Rhinolophus ferrumequinum: one gene and its partners. The protein of the gene in region 1 interacts with the protein of each later gene in a pairwise test. Links are inferred from orthologs where the notes say so. Each region holds a gene or a part of one and is shown on either strand. Other genes may lie near its edges.

What was found.
Region 2: the proteins of RBM10 (region 1) and RBM12B interact in a two-hybrid assay, tested with the Homo sapiens proteins (3 studies listed by BioGRID). The link is inferred for Rhinolophus ferrumequinum from reciprocal best matches to the Homo sapiens genes RBM10 and RBM12B.
Region 3: the proteins of RBM10 (region 1) and CPSF7 interact in binary tests that used the Homo sapiens proteins (3 or more experiments, as listed by UniProt). The two-hybrid records come from large-scale screens. The link is inferred for Rhinolophus ferrumequinum from reciprocal best matches to the Homo sapiens genes RBM10 and CPSF7.

The regions. Positions count from the first base shown.
Region 1 is NC_046284.1:86,743,181-86,750,578, reverse strand, and holds the start of RBM10 (RNA-binding protein 10), read left to right. Parts: upstream 1-4,359; 5' UTR 4,360-4,672; coding exon 4,673-4,742; intron 4,743-6,574; coding exon 6,575-6,716; intron 6,717-7,398. Other genes in the region: NDUFB11 (NADH dehydrogenase [ubiquinone] 1 beta subcomplex subunit 11, mitochondrial), read right to left, coding at 1,709-1,835, 2,007-2,137, 3,681-3,887. UniProt on the Homo sapiens protein: Binds to ssRNA containing the consensus sequence 5'-AGGUAA-3'. May be involved in post-transcriptional processing, most probably in mRNA splicing. Binds to RNA homopolymers, with a preference for poly(G) and poly(U) and little for poly(A).
Region 2 is NC_046297.1:34,817,969-34,825,445, reverse strand, and holds the start of RBM12B (RNA-binding protein 12B), read left to right. Parts: upstream 1-4,477; 5' UTR 4,478-4,520; coding exon 4,521-4,561; intron 4,562-6,668; coding exon 6,669-7,477.
Region 3 is NC_046294.1:9,493,719-9,501,497, forward strand, and holds the start of CPSF7 (cleavage and polyadenylation specificity factor subunit 7), read left to right. Parts: upstream 1-4,737; 5' UTR 4,738-4,861; exon of another isoform or gene 4,862-4,973; intron 4,974-5,062; coding exon of another isoform or gene 5,063-5,244; intron 5,245-5,246; coding exon of another isoform or gene 5,247-5,373; intron 5,374-5,374; coding exon of another isoform or gene 5,375-5,410; exon of another isoform or gene 5,411-5,446; intron 5,447-5,464; 5' UTR 5,465-5,519; coding exon 5,520-5,573; intron 5,574-7,779.

The DNA of each region.
Region 1 (7,398 bases):
ATATATCCATCAAAAGATGTATATAAGAATGTTTACAGAATTATTCGTTTCTTTTTAATATATATTTTTAAATTTTATTGGGTAACTGTGTATTTTCCAGGAACTCCGAGTCAAGTCATTGTCCTTCAATCCAGTTGTGGAGGGCGCAGCTCAGCTCCAGTCCAGTCGTCGTTTTCAACCTAGTTGCAGGGGGCGCAGCCCACCATCCCATGCGGGAATTGAACTGGTGACCTTGTTGTTAAGAGCTCACGTTCCAACCGAGCCATCCGGCTGCCCACTGGCAGCTCAGTGGCAGCTCGTTGTCTTCAATCTAGTTGTGGAGGGCGCAGCTCACCGGCCCATGTGGGAATCGAACTGGCAACCCTGTTAAGAGCTCGCGCTCTAACCAACTGAGCCATCCGGCCGCCCAGAAGAATTATTCTTAATAGCCCCAAACAGAAAACTACCGAAATGCCCATCAACATTGGAACAAATGAAGTGTGATCTGTTCATACAATGGAAAAGAGCACAGCTATGAGGATGGACAAACCACTGATCACGTAAGAACGTGGACCTGTCTCATACCACCAAGCTGAATGAAAGAAGCCAGGTACTAAGTGAAATGAGTCAGACTGAGAAAGACTAATACCATATGCTCTCACTTATATGTGGAATCTAAAGAACAGAATAAACGAGCAAACGAAACAGAAATAGACTCAGAGATACAGAGGAAAACCTGATGGTTGCTAGATGGGAGGGAGTAGGGATGGGGGAGAAGCTGAAGGGATTAGGAAGTACAGACTGGTAGTCAGAAAATAGTCACGGGGATGTGAAATACAGTGTGGGGAATGTAGTCAGGAATGTTGTAAAGATCATGTAAGGTGCCAGATGGGCACTGGACTTACCATGGGGGTCACGTCATAGACATGTAGATGCCTGACCAATGCGCTATACACCTGAAGCTGAACTAGAATAATACTGAATGTCAACTAGAACTAACTATATAGGTATATATAGTCACGGGATGTGAAGTACAACATAGGGAAGATACTAGATGGTATTGTAACAGCTACGTACGGTGTCAGACGGGTAGTCGATTGGGGAGGATTATCACTTTGTGGGGTGTAAATGTCTAACTATTGCATTGTTTTGCACACCTGAAACTAATAAAAAAATATATTTAAAAAAGTCAGGTACAAAAATGTATGGATGCACTCGTATGAAGTTTCAAACCAGACGAAACTAACCTATGTTGTTACAAGTCGAGAGAGGGGTTACCCTTGCGGTAGGGAGGGTGGACCTGAAGGGAGCTTTCCAGAGAGGCCACCTGGAAGAAGACTGAAGTGCCAGGCATGAGTGAAGACGCCGTCTTGGATGTCCATCCCAGTAGAGCTTTCAGATGACTCAGTACCAGCCACTGTCTGACCTCAAGAACCACTTAGCTGAGCACAGTCAATCACAGGACCATGAAAGATGACACTAAATTGTCATATTAAGCCACTAAGTTTTCGGGTATTTGTTACACAGCAATAGATAATTGGAACACCCAGAAAAGGTGGTGGTGGCCCTTTTAAGGCCTGACACCCCCACTCCCACATCCCCAGTACAACAAAATCAACACCAGCCAATCAGACTTTCAGTCCCTTTAATTAGGTGCTCTGAGGAGAAGGCAGAATGGCAGGCAGGGGGTGGAGGAGGTGGTGTTTCTTGAGCCCCACTCAGCAACCAGTCAGTCCTCATCCTCCGGCAGCTGGATCTTGCTGGGGTCAAAGCAGTTGGATTCCATGATGGGGAGACCATTGGCCTCTCGGTATTTCACAAGCCTCTCAGCTTCCCGGCGGGCCCACTCCTGCATCCTGGAGGCAGCAGCGTGCGAGGGAGACATGAGGGAGCCTCACTGGACACCAATCCCCACCTTAGCTCCCCATTCCTCAATGGGGTAGGACAGGATTCCTGGCAGAATCCCCTTCAACCTCCACCCCTGCCTCTGCCCACACCCATCCCATTCTCTTAGACACCCCATGGACCTGTAGTCAGGCAGATAAGCCACAAAGGTGCTGCCAAGGACCAAGACGATGGAGAAGCCAAAGAAGAAGACGACGCGCATGTTCCAGACGTCCACAACAGGATCCTTGTCGTAGCCATGGGAGTCTGGGTTCTGCGGAAGGAGAAATCATTGAGGTTTCCTGCTGCTCCACAAAGCCTTATGCTGGCCCTGTATAAGCTGGCTTCTAATTGGACCAATCTCCTCTCCATCCCTAAATTCCTCTCATTCTGTTCTTGGGACTTGTCAAGCCCTTCCCACCACAGGACCTTTGCACTAGTTGTTCCCTCTGCCTGGAAAGCCTTTCCCCCCAGATTTCATGGCTGGATCTGCCTCTTCATTCCAAGTTTTGGCTTCATCATCACTTCCTTTAGGAGGCATTCCCTAGTCACCTTGTCTATTAAGTTGAACTATGGGAAATTGCCATTTTCATAGGTCAAAAATGGTTGAATATTGGCAATTTCCTATGGTTCAACCTAATAAAATTACTCCCTAACCCCAAGTCACTCTCAATCCACTTATCTTGCTTAACATTCTTTCTAGCATTTATTAGTTTATCAAAGTAGCATGCTCCTAGATCGCCTGTATCACATTATGTTATATGATCCATTACATACTCTACATTACTATTGTCAAATATTTTACATATTTATTTTCTGTGTTCTCCACTATCATATAAGAGCAAGGGCTTTATATGATTTCCACGCTGCTGAACCCCTAGGGCCCTGAACTGTGCCTGGCACGCAGGAGGCCCTCAATACATATTTACAGAATGAATGAATGAATGAGTATCCTATATATCCAAGCCCCTCAATCAGAGGTTAGTATCGATGAATTACCTCTTATGTGCCAGGCCTTTTCACATATACAAACTTCACAATATCCCAGTGAGATGGAAAGTGGCAATAATAAACACCTTCTAATGCTGAGTACTTACTAAGTGCCAGATGCTGTTCGGAGCATTTTAACTCATTTAATTACACAAGGCAGGTGTAATATTTTATTTTTTTAGAAGGTGTCCTAATACTTTGCCCATTTTACAAAGAAACTGAGGCACCAAGGGGTTAAGTTACTTGCCCAAGGTCACTCAGGTGAGTAACTGCCAGTGCCTGTATTCTAGCCCAGGTATTCTGATTTCAGAGGCTCTGCTATCAAGAGAGCACAACAGACGTGGTAGATCCAAGTTCAAATACCGGTTCTGACACACATTCAGTTATGCGAACTTGGGCAAGCCACTCCCCATCTCTGTGCTTCAATTTTCTCGTCTGTTCAATGGGTTTAGTAAGAGTACCTACTTCGAAATAGGGTTGTTTTGAGGATTTAGATGAATTAATGTATGTCAAGTGTTTAGAACACTGACACCAAAAAAAGTCGTACCAGTGTTTAGTATTATTATTATACTGTATTGCTTCTAAGTGTTTTGAGCACTGCCCATTTCAGGTTTGGTACTTGTTTGCAACATAAGGCCAATCTAATCTCTGGCCCTGAACAGAAGATATCACCAGACAAAGGAGGAAAAGAAACTAGGCAAAATTCCCAAGTCTTCAAGGATTTCACCAGCTGCACAATCCTCAGCCGCCTAGCAACGTCCTCTATGGCGCCCCATCCGCTGGTCCCCGACTGACCCTTTTGGCGTCCCGTTTCCCCTCCCTCTCACCTTCTCATAGAGGTTTTCGTCCTCTACATCTGGGTCCTCCTGCCAGCGCATAGTAGGTTCTGGTGCCCGCTTTCCCACCACAGCGGACGGGGCGATCACAGCCCTGGAGGAGCTGGATTCCCAGCGAAGCCAAGCAGCCGGGCGCCCTCGCGTCGCGGCTGCTGCCAAAAGGCGGCGAGCGCACAAACCTAACAGCCCAGCCGCCATGACAGGTGGTTCTGCAGGCTCTCAGGGGCGGGGACGGAAGTGCGACTCTGCGCAGCTGCAGTTGACCCCAGCGCGATAGTTGTCGCTCTGCCCCCACCGCACTAAATAGGCCCCGAGTCTGGATTTTTTTCAAGCGAGTGAGGCGCTGAGCAGCCCTCTTTGTCTCCCTCTGTCATGGCCTTAAGGGAGCAACCATTTTCCAATCCTCTCGATGGAGCTATGGCAGTTCTGCCTGAGTGGTCAGCTCCTACCCTTGCTGAGAAGAAAGCAGTGACATTTGGGTGGATGCAGTTCCCAGCCAAACGCACAGGAACTTCCCTTGCCCTCTTGGAGAAGAGGCGGAGCTTCCGTTTGTCTTTCATCTTCGAAGGAAGCCAAGCTTCTAAAAAGCGGGCCTCGCCAGATTGGCCAATAGCTACTCCTTTTCTCGACTTGTGGGCGTTCGCACAGGGAATGGGGAGGTAGCAGATGCTGGCCAATCAGAGCGGGTCGGGGCTGGCCGATGGCATACGGTGACCAATAGACGCGACCAGCCTGAGCGCGCTCCCTCGGTAGGTGGATGGTGGTCGAAGCGCCGGTTCCCTGCTCTTGGTCGCCATTTTGTGCTGCTGATTGCGGCCGACGGGGAGTAGGTGGCAGTTAGTTTTCCGGGGAGGGCAGTGCGATTGGCGCTTCTCCCCTCCTCCCTCCCCCGCCTTTCAGTTTCCAGCCTCGGACTTGGTTGTCGCGCGGACCGGCTCCAGCTGAGTTGGGAGGGTTGGTGGCGGTGGCAGCGGGCCGAGGTGATGTCAGGGAGCCCTCCCTTGACAGCCCGGGCCGAAAAGGTGAGCGTCGACGCTGGTCGTGGGGGCGGAGGTAAGGGGCTGGGGGCGGGGGGTGGTGCGTAGAAGAGGAGAGAGGGCGGACTGCGGGCTGCAACTGAGGGATGCGTGCACTGTCTGAGCCCGGGATGGGTTGTCTTTTTAAAAAAAATTTTCCCCCTTTTGAGAGCCGTGGCGCGTGCGCGATCGGGACACTGGATAGGTGCACGCGGGTTGGGGGAAGGGAGGGACGGATGGGAGTGGGATACTGTGGCTTACTGTGCCTGAGACACCGAATTTTATCCGTGGGGAGGCGAGTGTCTGCGGCTATGGTTTTTATCCACAGGAGAGGGGCTGTGCTGTCTGTTCTGTGTGACTTTGTTACTTTCCTGTTCGTGGGGGTGTTCTGTGGCTCGGGTCCTTAGTCTTGGAAGGAGGAGTAAGAACGTTTGTATGACCCTGGTCTTTATCCTTGGAGTGTGTGTCTAACTCTGGTCCCTATCCATGGGGAGAGGTCCTTATCCATAGGGAGTCTTCTTGCGACTGGCCCTAACCGACTTAACTGGGTAGGGAGGGAATGCAAGGAATGTGTATGACTTATTGCCCGTTCTTTGGGAAGGGGGTTCCTATCTGTGATTCTGACGTTCATCTATTGAAAAGGGGCTTCGGGGTGTGTTTATGACCCATACTTATTGTGGGTTCCTGTCTGTGATTTTGGCCCAGAGTTATTTGGGGCGCGTGTCTGTGACTTTGGTCCCTATCTGTTGTGGATACCAATGTGTGACTGGCCCCTTTGCCAGAGTCTACTGAGGGTTTTGTATCAGCTGTTATCCGCTGGGGCCCCTGGTTGTTCTAACTCTTACCCATCTGGGAGCAGGTAACTCTGGTTCCCTGTAGCTTGAGGAGGAAGAGAAAATTGGTGTGTGTGTATAAACGGAGGAAAGGTGTGGTGGTAACTTAGTGTGGGGCAGATGCTGTTGTTGCCTGGCCTTGCCTGATTCCTGTTCAGAGGGCGAGACCTGAGGATTCTGGGATACTGTGTGGCGACCCCTGGCCAAGTCATGTGGCTTGGGAATTCCTTAGTTCTCATGGTAGCCCTGAGGGTTAGGTGAAATGACTGCCCTTGCATCCCAACGGAATAGGACAATGGTTTGGAAAAGCCTCTGAAAGGGCTCCTTTTGCTCTGGGGAGAAAGCTGCCTTGGGACCTGGCTGCTCATAAGAGACAGGGTTCAGGGCTGAGCCAGTTGCCGTGTGAGGCCCAAAGCTGTGTTGGCCAGGAGCCCAGGGAGGCGGCAGCTGTCTCATTGCCAAGTTAGCCCCTTCACCCCCTAAGCCTTTCATGGTCTCCTGCTGTCTTATAGGGGGCAGCCAGCATCTTGTTGGGAGGATGAAATCACACCTTGGGGGTCCATGGAAGGAGACTGGTGGGTGCCTGGGACCCTTTTATGAAGTCTTTCCTCTATGCCTAATGTGCCCAATCTGGAACAAGTCATTCAGCACCGAGAACTCCCCCTGGGCAGGTAGCTCCGGGCTTGAACTTGTCTACCAGTTTCAGATGGCAACGCCCTGATCACAGAATGGGTGGCACCACCAGTTCTCTCTGCAAGATGCTCCCTGTCTGCTGAAGGCCTTGCTCTTTCTATTAGGGCAGTGGACTCTAATCTCACATTTGTATGGGAAGGAAAGGAGCTGGCCAAGTACTGGGGGGGTGGGCGGGGGGGGGAGGAGCAGCTGCCTTCCCACTCTGGTCCTCAGGAGCACTAGGAATTGGGAAACAACGTCCTCAGGCTAAGGGACAGCAGAGAGCCTTAACAAGGAGCGTTTCTCAAGGAGGCCCTCTCTGCCCCAACTGCTTTGACCCCTTTTTTCCTTCCTCTCTCCCCAGAGTCCCTGCAGGAGGCATCACCCAGGCTGGCAGATCATGGTGGCAGCTGTGGGGGTGGCTGGGAAGTGAAACGGAGCCAGCGGCTGAGGAGGGGCCCCAGCAGCCCCCGAAGGCCCTATCAGGATATGGAGTATGAAAGACGGTGAGTTACCCACTCCCACCCCCCTCAAGCAGCCGAGGCTTGTCCCCATCTCAGAACTGCTCCAGGAGGGTGCTAGGAAAGGGCTTCCAGGCAGAGCGAACAGTGCAGTAGATGATTGGTTTCTTTTCAGCAGACATTTACTTGGCACCTGTTGTGAGCCAGGACCTGTGTGCTAGGCTCTCGGAGAGCTGTGATGAAGGGGACAGATAAGATTGCAGCCTTCTCCTTACTCAGGGTCTCACAAGGCGGGCCACACAGTTTACAGGTGATTCCAAAACAGCTGGATGGGTGCCACGGCTGGTTGTGAGAGTGGGAAAGGATTAAAGAGAAAGGGGAGAATAGAGGCTGATGCCCAGGTTTCCAATTTGGGGGACCCTGGTAGGTATATGGTGCCATTCACCAAGGTCCAGACAGCTACTGCAAGAGGAGAGGCAGAGACGGGTAGTGGGTTGTAAGTGCCTGTGGATTCTCAGGAGAGGTGTGCACTATAGCTTTGGGTTTAAGGGATGGAAGGGAGTGGTACCTTCAGAGTTAGGAATTTGCCAGGCCAAGTGTGGGGCAAGCCAGGTCAGATAGTGGGAGATTTCAGGGGCAGGATGGGCTGAAGTGGGCGTGATGCTTGTCTTGGAATGGGACACTCTTGAGCACTTATTTTTAAATTCTGGTCGAACAAGAAACAGTT
Region 2 (7,477 bases), on another chromosome or scaffold:
TTCATGATTCATGGGAAGAGATCAAAATATCAATATTAACAAGTTTGGAAGAAGTTGATTCCAACCCTCATGGACAACTTTGAAGGGTTCAAGACTTTAGTGGAGGAAGTAACTGCAGATGTGGTGGTTATAGCATGAGAACTAGAATTAGAAGTAGAGCCTGAAGATGTGACTGAATTGCTTCAATTGCGTGATAAAAATTTAACAAATGAGAAGTTGTTTTTTTAGGGATGAGCAAAGAAAGTAGTTTATTGAGATAGAATCTACTCCTCATGAAGATGCTGTGAAGATTATTGAAATGACAACAAAGGATTTAGAATATTATATAAACGTAGTTGATAAAGCAGTGGCAGAGTTTGAGAGGATTGACTCCAATTTTGAAAGTAGTTCTGTGGGTGAAATGTTATCAAACAGCATCACATGCTATAGACAAATCATTCTTGAAAGCAAGAGTCATTCGATGCTGCCAACTTCATTATCTTATTTTAAGAAATTGCCACAGCCACCCCAACCTTTAGCAACCACCACGCTGATCCATCAGCTGCTAACAACATTGAGGATATATCCTCCACCAGCAAAACGATTATGACTCACTGAAGGCTCAGATGATGGTTAACATTCTTAGCAATAAAGTCTTTTTTAATTGAGGTATGTACTTTCTTTTAGACATAATGCTATTGCATATCTAATAGGATATAGTATAGGATATAGTATATATATAACTTTTACGTGCACTGGGGAACCAAAAAATTCATGTGACTCACTTTATTATGATATTTGCTTTATGGCAGTGTCTGGAACAGACCCCACAATATCTGAGGTATGCCTGCAGTATCCTCTGGAAGTAAATCACCAGGGTTCAATTCCTGGCTTGTACTATTTACGTAACCTTGGATAAGCTATGTAATCCTTTATGACTCAGTTTCCCTTATTTGTAAAGTAGGAAAAATAATAGTACCTACCACTAAAAGTAGTAAGAATAAGATAATGCACAGGGCCTGCCATATAATAAACCCTCAATAAATGTTAGCTTTTCAGTTTGGTTTCCTGAGCTTGCCTGGCCAGGACCAAACCCTAGACTGTGGGGAATAATCAAAGTAAATGCTACCTAATCAATGAGCCTAGTTCTACAATGTGACATCCTCTGTTTGACTATTTGAAACAAGTCACTAATATTTACACGAGTATGGTCTCAGATACATCTATATCTATATCGTCATTCAACATTTCCAGCAGTCCTAACAGGTACATTGTTATTATCTCCATTTTACAGATGAGGAAACAGGCATAGAGAAGCTAAGTAATTTGCCCAAGTGAGTAAATGATGGTTCTCACTCCAGGAACCACCTATTATTCACTTGTTAAACTACCTGTTCTTTCCTACAATCATATCATTAAAGAATGAGTATTTTGCAGTGAGAGAGGGATTGAAGACTCATTTTTTTCTCATCCGTTACTGTTTTAAAGATGGGATTTCTGTTTTCTTAGTGAGCTTTGAATCCACCTATAAATGCATAAGTAGTTATAAAAGTGGTGGGCTGCTTTGTTTTTTTGTAAGTAATAAAATAAAATCAAACACAAGGTTGTTCATCAGCTGTTACAGAACAGGCATTACAGAACATGCCTGTAACTGTGCTTTCCACTTCCCAATTTTCATGAGTGGCCTATCTGTTCTCATGTCTCAAAACACCAGAAGGTAGGAATAACAAGTTATTAATGTCTATGAAATTAAATAAGCATGCATTTATTGAGACCTCTGGGTGTTGGAATTGTATTTGGGGAATATCTAAGGTAGTAAAACTAACATTTCTGCGGCCTTTTAGAGCCAAAGTTCCTTTCAGAAGATGCTTACACCACACAAAGAAATCGCCAGCTTTTCTCTGCTGTACATCTCTTTCCTTAACTCCTGGAAATGATAAACATTTGTCCAGTATACTAAGGCAATCATTTATTGCAGCTACTCTTTACAGCAAAGGGTCGATCCCAAACTTAGTGTCGGAATCTCTCCTTTCCTTGGTGAGGCTCCCGGGTTGGCAGGACTCTGAGCATGCGCAGAAACTCAGCAAAGTCGGGGGCCAGTGGGCACCTCCTTTCCCTGACAACGGGAAGCGTTGTGAGCGTCAGGGCGCGTGCGTAAACGTGGCCCGGGCGCCGGGGTGGTGGGTTACGCCTGGAGAGCGCATGGGCAAAGTGTACGTCCGTTTGTCCGGGGCGGAGGGGAGAGTGGGCGCCATCTTCTAGGCTCTCTGAGGGCTCTCATCCTGTTCTGGGGAGGCTGCTGCGACGAGGAGAGCCACCTGCCCCTGGCCTTGTGTGCCCAACTCGGCAGCAGTGGTGTGTGTTTATTGCCAAGTGCGAATCAGTTACCCTTGGGGCGTCGGGGGTGGGGAGGAGTTGGTGACGGGGGCGGAAGAACAGGGAAAGGCGGGGCCGGCGGCCGCGCCAGGAGCTAACGTAGCTTCTCCCGTTAGGGCACCCTCGTTTCTTGCTAAACACCGACTCTTCCGCCAGCCTCCATGTGCTGTTGTGTGTTCGCTTCCCAGTTTTCTTGAGAGTGAAGATCTCGAAGGATTTCATAGGTATTTCTTTTTTTTTGCTATGTCATCGTAGTTATTGGTGGCAGGAAAGCGCTCAAGGCCCGACTCTTTGGGCTTGAGAGGGGCCAAAGGGTTTCAGTTAGATTTGGGAGCAGTTCGCCCTGTGGCTAGTTAGGGTGGAATGTTTGCCTTTGGGACGGCGTAACGGAAAGGCACGGATGTTGGGCGGTCCAGGTTAATTTGAAAGCTGATTTTGGCTGAAGGTCTGGCGACGGCATCGGATCGTACGTAGCGACTTTGGCCAGGCGTGAAAAAAGGAAGCTCTGACCCCTGGGAATCTGGACAAAGGCTTTGGGCTATAGAAGCGATGCCTTCGGATGATCTCCGTTTGAGGATGATGGATGTTATGGGAAATCCTGTGTCGTGTGGATTCGTCTTCATTTACAGTTCCTATTGGGGACTATGGCTCTTGTGTCGTCATGCCTTTGGTTTCCATTTTAACCATCTACATTATAAGAGGATTAAAGGTCATCATAAAGAATAATTGTGGACTGGGGGTAGATTATTTTCTGCAGGGGAAACTCATGCGTTTTTAGAATTTAAATGTGCTTCATCATAATTTTGGGTTTTAAGAAATATAGTCGCAGTTTTCTCTCCCTCACCATGTCTGGAAAATGAATTATTGGCTAGCTAAAATCAAATGGGTCTGAAATAATACCTATTTAAATTTAGCCTCCCTCCAGTTTCCCTCTCAGGCTTGAAAAGAGGATGCACATTTTGTACTGTTTAGTGATAAGGATCAAGTGGCATGAATCGTATAAAATTACAGCAAAATTAAAATGAGTTTATTAATTTCGGTGACTTGACGTTAAATGAGCTTTTAAGGACCCACTTCCTTCTTTTAGGTTAGAAGTTCTGATTACTGTCTTTAAGTTGACACAGTCGTGAAAAATACTTGTTGCATTCATAAGTAGAAAATTTTTAAGTGCAGAGTACTTGAGAGTATTTTGTGTTTTTGCCTTTTGTGTAATGTTGTGAGAATAGACTTTCTGGGGAATTTGCTTAAGGAAATAACATGGCAACCACAGGAGAAGTGCTCATTTTGAGCTGGTCTCTCATAGGTGGTCTCCTACCTGTGTTATTGTAGAGTGATAAATAGTACATTACCCTACTATCCAAAGGGCAAAAATATTTAATCATTAGTTATATTTAACTGTGGCAAGTTAGAAGCAATTTTTTTTTTTTTATTTAGAGTGCTTGAATTGGAATTCATGAGATTTGTACACATGGAACTACTTAGTTAAAATACTGTTTTTAAGTTAGAGAGGATAAATTACTAGAAATCTTTTGAATTTGAAACATCCCTAACTTTTCTTGTAGATGTATGTTCTTGGTAAATCCCTTTAAATTAAAAAAAACAATTTTAGAAGGGAAAAATAATGTGCACCTTACATTGCATTCTAAAATAATTTAAAAGTAAAAAAGGAGCTAAGTCAATTTGCATAGGAAGGAGTCTTGGAACTTGAATGTGGACGACTATTTCAGAAGCCATTTATAGTTTTTGTTAAAATGTTGGTGTAGATACTGGTTTGTTGAGGAAACTAGGCTTGAACTCGATTGTTTTTGGTGCTGTGCAGACTTTTTTAAAAAAATACTTTTTTAGAGCAGTTTTTTAGGTTCATAGCAATATTGAGCAGAAGATATAGAGATTTCCCATATGTCCCCTACCCCTACACATACTGTGCAAATATTTTAATAGTAAATCTCATTAATATTTTTAATATTTTAAATTACATTTTTATAGTAATAGTAAATCTCAATATTTTTAATTATCAACTTGGCATTGATAATTCAGATGTGGAATGTGCCAAGTAATTTCTTGATACCTTTGTTAGTTTAGTGTTAGTTTAGCTTGTAGTTTAAAAAATTTAATCTATGGGACTCCTTTTCAAAGGAAAATAAACCTTGTAGACCTCAAAGAATATGTCTTCAGACCCTACTTTGTGGAAGAGTGGTACTTATGTGTAAGTACTAATTTAAAACAACATTTATTTGCACATTAAAAACATAAACTTATGCAAGAGAGTTGGACATGATAATGAGTTAGGTGTTTGGTCTTCTCATAGGTGGAAATGATAGAAAGTTTTTGGGAATTTTTTGGTGTTTTTAAATTGTCGTTTTTCTTGTAGAACACTTTTTTTTTTTAAGTACATGTAAAATTTATATACAGTGAAATGCACAGATCTTAAAGATAGAATTCATTTAGCCTTGATAAATTTATACATCCACATAACCAATACTTCAATCAAAATATATAACATTTCCATCATCCCTGTCCTTGTACCATTTCCAATTAATTTAGCGGATCTTAAAAAATTACTTGGTAAGACTACATTAAATATTATTAGTTTAGGTATCTGAAAGTATTAGATGTGACTTTGCTTAAAGAAATACTGAGGTTTTTTTCAGTAGTTAATAATGATAGTCCCCACATATTCCAAGTTAATGTGTTTTTATTATGGTTTCACTTTTTTACATTGTCATTGGGTTTCCTCAGTAGAACCCAGGACAGTTGTTTGAAATGGAATAAACTTATTAGCATAAGTAGATTCTATATTTATCTGAACGTTTTCTGTTTGCCTTGAGATGAATTTTAACAGTAATCATTGTGGGAGTTTATGGAGTAGTAGTTGAGTTTAAGATAAGTAGTTGAGATTTTCGATTTTAGGGATATTTTAGTATTTGCCTTAATTATACGGGAGTCAGGAGATTTGGTTCCATGTTTGGAAGTGTGAGCTGTATATGTAGAACTTAAAATTGTATCCAGAACTTAAAATTGTATCTAGATGGTAGCCACTGTTTCGATTTTGCTTTAAAAATTGGTTTTTGAATTTTAAATATTCGTGTTTTCATTTATGTTATCATTTTGAATGGTTGCCTTTTTAATTTGATTTGGTCTTATGTTTGAAATGGAGGAGAATTGCAAGAGTTGGGCATAATAATGAGTTAGGTGTTTGGTCTTTTCATAGGTGGAAATGATAGAAAGTTTTTGGGAATTTTTTGGTGTTTTTAAATTGTCATTTTACTTATAGAACAGTTGTTTTTTTTTTTTTAAGTGGATGTAAAATTTATATACAGTGAAATGCACAGATCTTAAAGATAGAATTCATTTAGCCTTGATAAATTTATACATCCACGTAACCAGTACTCCAATCAAAATATATAACATTTCCATCATCCCTGTCCTTGTACCATTTCCAATTAATAGTTTTTTTGTTTTTAAATAATTTGTAGATGTCTACTCCGAATTTGCACCTTCATTTTGCTGAAGGATGATTCATTTCCCCTTGGAACAAAGAAGACCACTTTGTAATGCCCATAATTGTGATTGCTTATTGCTTCGCTTTTAATAGGTATAATAGGTATAATAGGTATAATTTTAAAGTGACTATCCTAACCTGGCATTGTTTAAGATCAACGAGTCTGAGGATTTTCATTTTCTTTCCACAGTTAAGTTGCTTTCACAGAATTAACAGGTCTCCAAGAAATTAAAAAGAAAAAGAAAAAGCTATACAGAGCTTAAGCCTTTTCACATAGGCTTGACAAAAAAATGTAAAGTAGAATAGTACATCTTAGGTACACATGGCTTCTGCACTCTATGTCTGGCCAGTGATGCACTAGTGGTAAGCAGTTTATTATGAACAAAAATTATATACTGACCATAGATGGCTTTTATAAATATGTAAAATTCACAGTAAAAATTTTAAATCACAAAGTTCTATCTCATGTTTCAGTAGAAGATACGTTTCTTAGTGAGTCTGAATATAGTTTGGTCTTGTGAACCAGCAGCACTTCTCAGACTTACAAAGAAGATTTGGTATTTTTCATGTTCATACTATATAGGATAGGTGATATGAAAATGTATCTTCAAAGTAGTTGGTGTGTAGAAGGGAGAAAGTTTATTCCTTTTTTTTTTTAAGAATTAGATACAATCAATATTTTTGTGAACATGTATTTTGTTTTTATTTATAAATTCTGAAGAAGGTAGGAACCAAGTAATTATTGAACTTAGTTTGGGATAAGCTTCTTCAAAAATAAGACTTGCTATTATGTGTACCTTTTTGTCTGCAGGTCATTATTGCTGTGGTTTGAGCTCAGCATGGCTGTAGTCATCCGTTTACTGGGGCTTCCTTTTGTTGCGGGGCCTGTGGATATTCGTCACTTCTTCACGGGATTGACTATTCCTGATGGAGGAGTGCATATAATTGGAGGGGAAGTTGGGGAGGCATTTATTATTTTTGCAACAGATGAAGATGCAAGACGTGCCATAAGTCGTTCAGGAGGGTTTATCAAGGATTCATCTGTAGAGCTCTTTCTTAGCAGTAAGGCAGAAATGCAGAAGACTATTGAAATGAAAAGAACTGACCGCATAGGAAGAGAGCGACCAGGATTTGGGGCATCAGGGGTTGGATGCTTATCTAATTTTGTTGAGGGTTTTAAAGAAGAAGCAAGTAATTCTGGATATGGCTCTCCGATTAATCAAGATGCTGGGTTTCATACTAATGGTACAGGACATGGTGAGTTAAGGCCAAGAAAGACACGGCCATTGAAGGCAGAGAATCCTTATTTGTTTCTACGAGGTTTGCCTTACTTAGTAAATGAAGATGATGTACGTGTCTTTTTCTCTGGTTTGTGTGTGGATGGAGTAATTTTTTTAAAACATCATGATGGCCGAAATAATGGTGATGCCATAGTAAAATTTGCTTCATGTATTGATGCTTCAGGAGGTCTTAAGTGTCACAGAAGTTTTATGGGTTCAAGATTCATAGAAGTAATGCAAGGCTCAGAACAGCAGTGGATTGAGTTTGGTGGTAGTACAGTTGAGGGTGACATTCCTATGAGAATCGAAGAACATTCTCCACCAAGAGGAACAAATGATA
Region 3 (7,779 bases), on another chromosome or scaffold:
CAGCTGATTCTAAAACTACAAAATTCCTAGAACAAAATAGAAAAAAATCTTTGTGACTTTAGATCAGGCAACTTCTTAGATACAATCCCAAAAGCACAATCCACTACCACATTTTATAGTTGGAACCTACAGAATGGCTTCTACTTTATCATACAGATATTGAGTGGAAACACAAAAACAGAAGACCCAGAGTGTGACAGAAATAATGAGCTATCCCCTACTATCCATTCTCTCATTTTTCCTTAATAACAGAATCTTCAATTTAGACACCTAGAATAGACTATATTATTTCTTCTTTATGGTGAGGTGTAGCCATGTGACTAAACCGTAGCTAGTGGGAAATGAGTGGAAGTATGATGTTTAACTTCCTGAGAAGGATCCATAAAGAATAGGGTGTGCTTTTCTATACACTTTTTTCTTGGCTGAAATATGGATATGGCAGATGGGGCTTTAGCAGACATCTTGGACCAGGAGTTGGACGACACATGCTGAGGATGAAGGAGCAGCAAGGTTTTTGAAACCCCTCTATATGCCTACCCTGGACTTCTATTATGAGAAAGAGAAATACAGTTTTGTCTTGCTTAAGCCATTATTGTCTTAGATTTTTTTGTTACTCACAGCCAAAGCTAATGCTAACTATACACAGTGAATATTCATTCCTCAAAGGCAGTGTCAGAATGAGACTACTGAAGAACTCTTGCTCTGCAGACTATAGAGCTGTCTATAACGGGTTCCACTCTATTCCCAGCCTAGTTTTTCTTCAACCTTCTCTCCGAGACTGTGAGCTTCCCGTACAATTTCAGTAAATTCCCTTTTTGCTCAAGTTACACAGAATAGGTTTCTCTTGCTTGCAAACAAAGAACCTTAATAAAACAAATTTTGCACACTTTGTAAAAATTTGATGAGTGTTTGGGTTAAGGGTCTATTGTATTAATAAAAGAAAAAAATTGCCTAGAATATAATTTTAGACTCAAAATAGGCCCAAGTCATCCTACTTTTCCCATTATGCTGCTTATCATGCCCAGTACCTGTAGCCCAGTAGTAAATATCCCAGTCATTGCTAGGCTCATTAATCAGGCGATCGTAGAGGTTCAGCTGTTTCTCTGTCATGTGGTGCAGATATTCTTTAGCAAAGAGGCTAAAAACAAGAAAGAGAAAGAAGTTGAAATGCTGTCTCTAGTCAAAGAGAAGTGACACCAACACCCCTGTCCCCTACCTAAGCAGAATGCAGTTTTCCAGCATTCCCCTCTTTCTGCTCTCATAGAGCAGGCGGGCTCTTTTGGTTTCTATGGATTCATCAGTTCGCTCCTGCCATGGAGGCAAAGGGATTTCAATCATATCTTTTTGGGAATCTGTTGGGCTGTCACCTCTGCAGAAGTGTCTGAATGATGTCATGCTGAGCAAAGGAGACACTGGGTGGCGCCTGGACAGAGCAAGCATCTGAAACAAAGCACAAACATCTTTTTAACAACAACAAATAACATTTGTCATTCACTCAACACATTAGATGCTAAATACATTCAATCTCATTTAGTCTGTAAGAACTTATGCTGATACTGACTCCACCCTACAGTTTAGGAAGTTGAAGCTCAGGGAAGTTAAAAAACTTGTCATCCAAATAGTAACTGCAGTTAGGATCGAAACCGAGCTATAATTACAAACGTGTTCTTAATCAGTGCCCTTCCAGAAATTATCCAGCAGAAATATTTTCTCTTTCCTTTGCAGTCCCTTAAAATTTTTACAGTATGGTTTGTATTCTAGTCACTAGCCTGTGTCAAAATCTGAGCATACAGTGATGGCATGGATCCTAATCCCCCAAGGACTCCTAGAGAAAGTCAAAAACTATCAAGATGTGATGAGAAGGTGGTGATATAAGCAAGATGACAGAGCAGGAAGCACCACATTCTCCTTCACCCACAGAGACACCAACTCCACAACAATATACTCGGGACACTATAGAAGCCTGGGGGCTGAGAACAGAGCTGGAAGGCTTGTGGCACCTTGAGAACCTGCAGTAGTACAGACACCAGAAGGAGTAAGAACTTATGAGCTCCCGACAAAAGAAGCCAGCAAATTCCTCTAATTAGGAATTGACATGCACAAATCCAGAGAAGACATATCTACTCGAAAGTATTGGGAAGCCCCCAGAATCTCTAGCAGGGCTGCCTGGTGATGGTCTTTCTTTGAATAAAGCCAGTCCAAAAAAACTAGGAGAGTTGGCTGTTTTATCAAATGCGTGGATCCCAACAAAAAATTGTACAGGACACAAAGAAACAAGGAAACATGGCCTAATCAAAGGAACAAAACAAATCTCCAGAAATCGACCCTAAAGAAACAGAGGTATATGAATTACCTGACAAAGAATTCAAAATAACTGCCATCAAGATGTTCAATGAGGTCAGAAAAACAATGCATGAACAAAATGAAAATATCAATAAAGATAAATATTAAAAAGAACCCAATGGAAAATGTAGAACTGAAGGATACAATAACTGAATTTAAAAATTCACTATCGGGGTTAAACAGCAGACTTGATCAAGCAGAAGAAAGAATGAGTGAACTCTAAGACAAGTCATTTGAAATTACCCATCAGAAGAAAGAAAAGAAAAAATAATGAAAAACAGTGAATACACCCAAGAGACTTATGGGACATCATCAAGCGTACACTACACACATTATGGGAGTCCCAGAAGAAGAGAGAGAAAGGAGCAGAAAGCTCATTTGAAGAAATAATGGACCAAAACTTCCCAAATCCAGGGAAATGAATGGACATTAAAATTCAAGAAGCCCAAAGGACCTAAAGCATATTAGACAGTAACACAAAAGCATATAAAAGCATAAAGCTCACTGGTAAAGGTAAATATGACAAATACAGAATATCGTAATATTGTAACAATGGTGCATAAATCACTTTTAATTCTGGTATAGAAGTTAAAACACAAAGACTTTTTTTAAAGACCTATAAAATATGTTAATGGATACACAATATAAAAATATGCAATTGTGACATCAATAACATAAAGTGAGAAGGAGTAAAAGAGCAGAGTTTTTGTATGAGATTGAAGTTAAACTGTTATCAGCTTAAAATAGTTATTATGTTGTATGTAAGCCCCACAGTAACCACAAAGGAAATACCTATACAAGATACACAATAGAAAGTCAGAAAGGAATCAAAGTATGCTTCTACCAAAAAAAAAAAAAAAAATCAACGAAACACCAAAGATGATATCAAGGGAGGAAAAGAGGGACACAGGCTCCAAGACATGAAGGAAATATTTAACAAAATGGCAACAGTAAGTCCTTTCCTACCAGTAATTATTTTAAATGTAAATATATTAAACTCCCCAACCAAAATAGAGAGTGACTCAATAGACAAAAAAAAAAAACAAAAAAACAAACAACAAAAAAAACAAGACTCAAGTATATGCTGTTAAAAGAGACTCACTTGAGATGTAAGGCAACACATAAGTTGAAAGTGAAAGAATGAAAAAAAGATATTCCATGCAAATGGTAACCAAAAGTGAGCAGAGGCCTCTACTCATATCAGGCTTTCAATCAAAAACTGTTACAAGAGATAAAGAAGGATATTATGTAATAATAAAAGGGTCAATCCACCAGGAAGATATAACAATTATAAATATACATGTAACCAATATCAGAGCACCCAAATATATGAAGCAAACACTGACAGAACTGAAGAAAGAAATAGCAACACAATAATAGATTTCAATGCCCCACTTTCAATAATGGATAGAACATCCAGACAGAAGATCAGTAAGTAAATAGAGAACTTGAACAACACTACAGATCCAATGAACCAAACAGATATATACAGAACATTCCACCCAACAGCAGCGAGAATATACATTATTCTCAAGCACACTGTGAACATCCTCCAGGATAGATCACGTTAGGTTATAAAACAAGTTTAAGAATATTGAAATTGTATGAGATCTTTTCTGACTACAACGGAATGAAAACTAGAAATCAACAGCAGAAGGCAAATTGGAAAATTCACAAATATGTGAAAATAAAACAACACGCTCTCAAACAACCAATGGTTCAAATGAACCAAAGAAGAAATCAAAAGGGAAATTAGAAAATATCTTGAGACAATAGACACAACATGCAAAATAGCATGAGAAGCAGCAAAAAGCAATAGTAAGAAAAGTTTACAGTGGTAAACACCTACATTTAAGAAAAAAGGAAAAGAAAGAAAGATCTTATGATGCGATGTGAACTCACGATAGGTATTAGAGAAGATTTAAGAGGAAGCTGACTTAAAATCAGACAGAAGAGGCGCCCAGAGGCGGTGGGGCCAGCTTCACCCGGGAAACAGGTGAAATCCGTATTGGGTCTTACAGGAAGACTGATCGTTCCACGATACCACAATACAGGCAGCTAGTGGGTTCCGGAAAAGGGTGACAGCGACTTGAATCTCCTAATTTGCAAGCTCGACCTCTCCTTGGGTCTGTCCTTGCCTTAGGCTGTCAGGCAGTTGGACCTCTCCTCGCGGTCTCCAGGACTGCGGAAGAAGAAGAGACTCAGTTCCCACTGTGGCCCGCCCAGGACCCTACGACATGCATTCTCACCCGTGCCAGAGCCGGGAATACGATGGCCACTGCCATTTTTCCTGACCTGTACCGGAAGCCTGCGGCCCAGCCACTTCCGGGACCTCCCGGACGCCGACCCTGCGGAAGATTCGCCCTAAGCCGGAAGATGCGTGCCTGCGTAGGGCGGAAGTGGCTTTGCGTGTGACGCCAGTGGCGGGGTAGGGGGGAAGGCGGGACCTGGGGGGCCGAGAGCGGTTCGCGCGCTTCGGGCCTAGTTCGGACTCGCCGCCTCCGCCGCCATATTCCCGGTAACGGGGGCGCGCGGCCGGGGGCCGGCTGGGCCGGAAGAGGGCTCGGGGCCGGCGCTGAGGCGGGGAGGGGGTCGGTTGAGTTTGGGGCAGCCGGAGTCGGCGGGCGGAGGTTGGCGCGGGCCTTTGTGGGAGGGGGCCGAGGGCGCTGGGCCGGGTCTGTGGGGAGGGAGCGGGGCGGGCCTAGCTGGGGGCGAGGACTGGGCTTGGATGTGGAACAGGATCTCCGGGACTCGCGGGGATTCTAGCCGGGGCCGCCCCGGGGCCTAGGCAGGTGCGTTGGGCTGGGGCTGCGGGCTTCGCCTCGGGCGTTCTTAACGGCGCTGTGCGAGGGCCCCTAGGTGCAGAGGCCTGGGGTTCCCCGTCGCGCCACGGCCCCAGCGGCGTAGCTCGGGTCGGGCCCGAGGGTGATGGGCAGCGAGCCCCGCGAGCCCCGGCGGCCTGGGAGCGCGAGGGGCGGCGCGAGGCCGGGGGCGGGGCGGAGCGGGTGGGGCAGAGCTTGGGCTGCCGGGGAGGCTGCGTCTCTGGAGACGGGAGGTTGGCGACCATTGCCCTCCTTCCAACCCGGGACCTTCATGCCATCTAACTCTTGCCTCTCCGCAGTGGCATCTTTCTTACTTTGTCCGTTCTCCGGGCCCGCGATCTGCCTTCCGGAGCCATGTCAGAAGGAGTGGACTTGATTGATATATATGCCGACGAGGAGTTCAATCAGGTGAGGGGTCATCGGGAGTATTGGGGTTTTCCAGGATCAGCCAAGGAATCACTTCCAGCATACTTGCAGTGGCTCCAAGCTATGCTAGCTAGCCCTTGAGGATTTGCTAGGCCTGAACACGCCTCATCGGGTCTAAAATTGTTCCTCTAGTACAGATTTTCAAGACTTCTGACCATTCCGCTTTATGTTACTATAAGCCTCCAGGCTTAATTTTAAAGGCTTTCATTTAAGAGCAAATAAAAATCAGGTTTAATAGAATGGTGAATCAACCTGTGGAACTTGCTGCCCCAGGAAGCCAGAGTTGGATGTTTGTCTCCTCAAAAACTAACCACTTAAAAATCAGAAATACGTTTGCTGTGGTTTTCATGAAGACAAGGTTGATACCTGTTGCTTTGTGATTCTGTCAAACTGCGGCTGGAAAAATGTAGTCAGTCCCCTCTCCCATAAGATAGTGCGAAGTCACACTGTAAAAGATACTTTAACGTTTAATTTTAGCTCCATTACAATTGTTTTGCATTTTCCTTTGATAAGTAGCTTAAGTCCAGTCTCAAGCCCATAGGCATTTTGGTTTAATACATTTTATTGATGAATCTAATTGGGTGTTGTGGGGAGAAGTAAAGGTTTTGGACAAACCAGTTAAAAAGCAGGTATAGGGGTAGCTGGTTAGCTCAGTTGGTTAGAGCGTGGTGCTACTAACACCAAGGTTGCTGGTTCAATCCCCACATGGGCCACTGTGAGCTGCACCCTCCTTTAAAAAAAAAAAGCAGGGACAGACCCACTCACATACCCTGAGATGGATTTGTTGGTCCCTTTGTGTTATGTCAAGGAATATTATACAGTGATTTCCCTTGAAACAATAATCTCATATACAGTTCGATTCTGAGCTCTTGAGGTCAAATCTCAAGAATATTTCAAAGTTTCTATTTAAACTGATTAATATCTTGCCTGGATTGTTTTCAACACTGTTCTACTTGAGTAAGCTGGTTTTTCCCATTGGCATCTTTTATGGGGTACCCATAAGGGCCTGCAAAAAGGATAAAAAGAATAAAGGAGAAAAGAGCACTGTTTGGACCCTGACTTTAATCTGAGGCAACAGAGGAGGTTGAAATACATGTAATTTTTTTCACTTGGCATAAGTTTACGTTAAAAAAGATTTTTAATACGTTATGCCTTTTTAACATGGAATTTTTAAAACACATGATAATAGAGTAGTGTCAAGACCTTGTACCCATTATATACAGCTTCACCAGTTATACTTTTTTAAGTTTTTTTTTTTTTCAATTGGGGAAGGGGAACAGGACTTTATTGGGGAACAGTATGTACTTCCAGGACTTTTTTCCAAGTCAAGTTGTTGTCCTTTCAATCTTAGTTGTGGAGGGTGCCGTTCTGCTTCAAGTTGTCGTCTTTTCAGTCTTAGTTGTGGAGGGTGCAGCGCAGCCCCAGGTTCAGCTGCTGTTTCTAGTCGCCGGGGGCGCTGCCCACCATCCCCTGCGGGAGTCAAACCAGCAACCTTGTGGTTGAGAGCCTACTGGCCCATGTGGGAATCGAACCGGCAGCCTTCGGAATTAGGAGCATGGAGCTCCAACCGCCTGAGCCACCGGGCCGGCCCCACCAGTTATACTTTTTAATAGTCATTTTCCCATGTCTCTTCAGGTAAACTGGAGTCACCTACATGTGGCTGCTGATTGGTTTAAAAATAGGAAATTTTTTTATTTTTAATTTCATACAAGTCAAATAATCACTTACGGATAAAAAGAAAGGTTTAATATATTAGTTACAAACCATTGCTTTCCTCGGTTACTTTGAATCAAACTTATACTACTTTTAACAAGTTATGGTTCGTTTTTTAAATACAAGATATCGAGGAAAGAGGAAGGCTCCTTTATGGAGGAGTCAGAGTGGAGTTGGCTCTCTTCCGTTGGTTGATAACTGTGCTGCTATGTCCATGGGGAAATGGGCAGAACAAAGCCCTTAACCACAGGAATAGCTACATTTGGTCTGAGAAAATGAGATTTCATAACTTCTCTAGCATCGACAAGACACAGGCCTCGTCCCGTGGTCCCTGCTGTGTCAGTAGAAGTCATTGGCCTCAACAGTTCGTGTTCTCTGGTCACTTTTGTTAAAACGGACTTTCTAAAGGGAGGCCAAAGATGGTGTGAGAGAACTAGTGGATGTGTATACCAAACAATATTTGATGCTTGGCAGC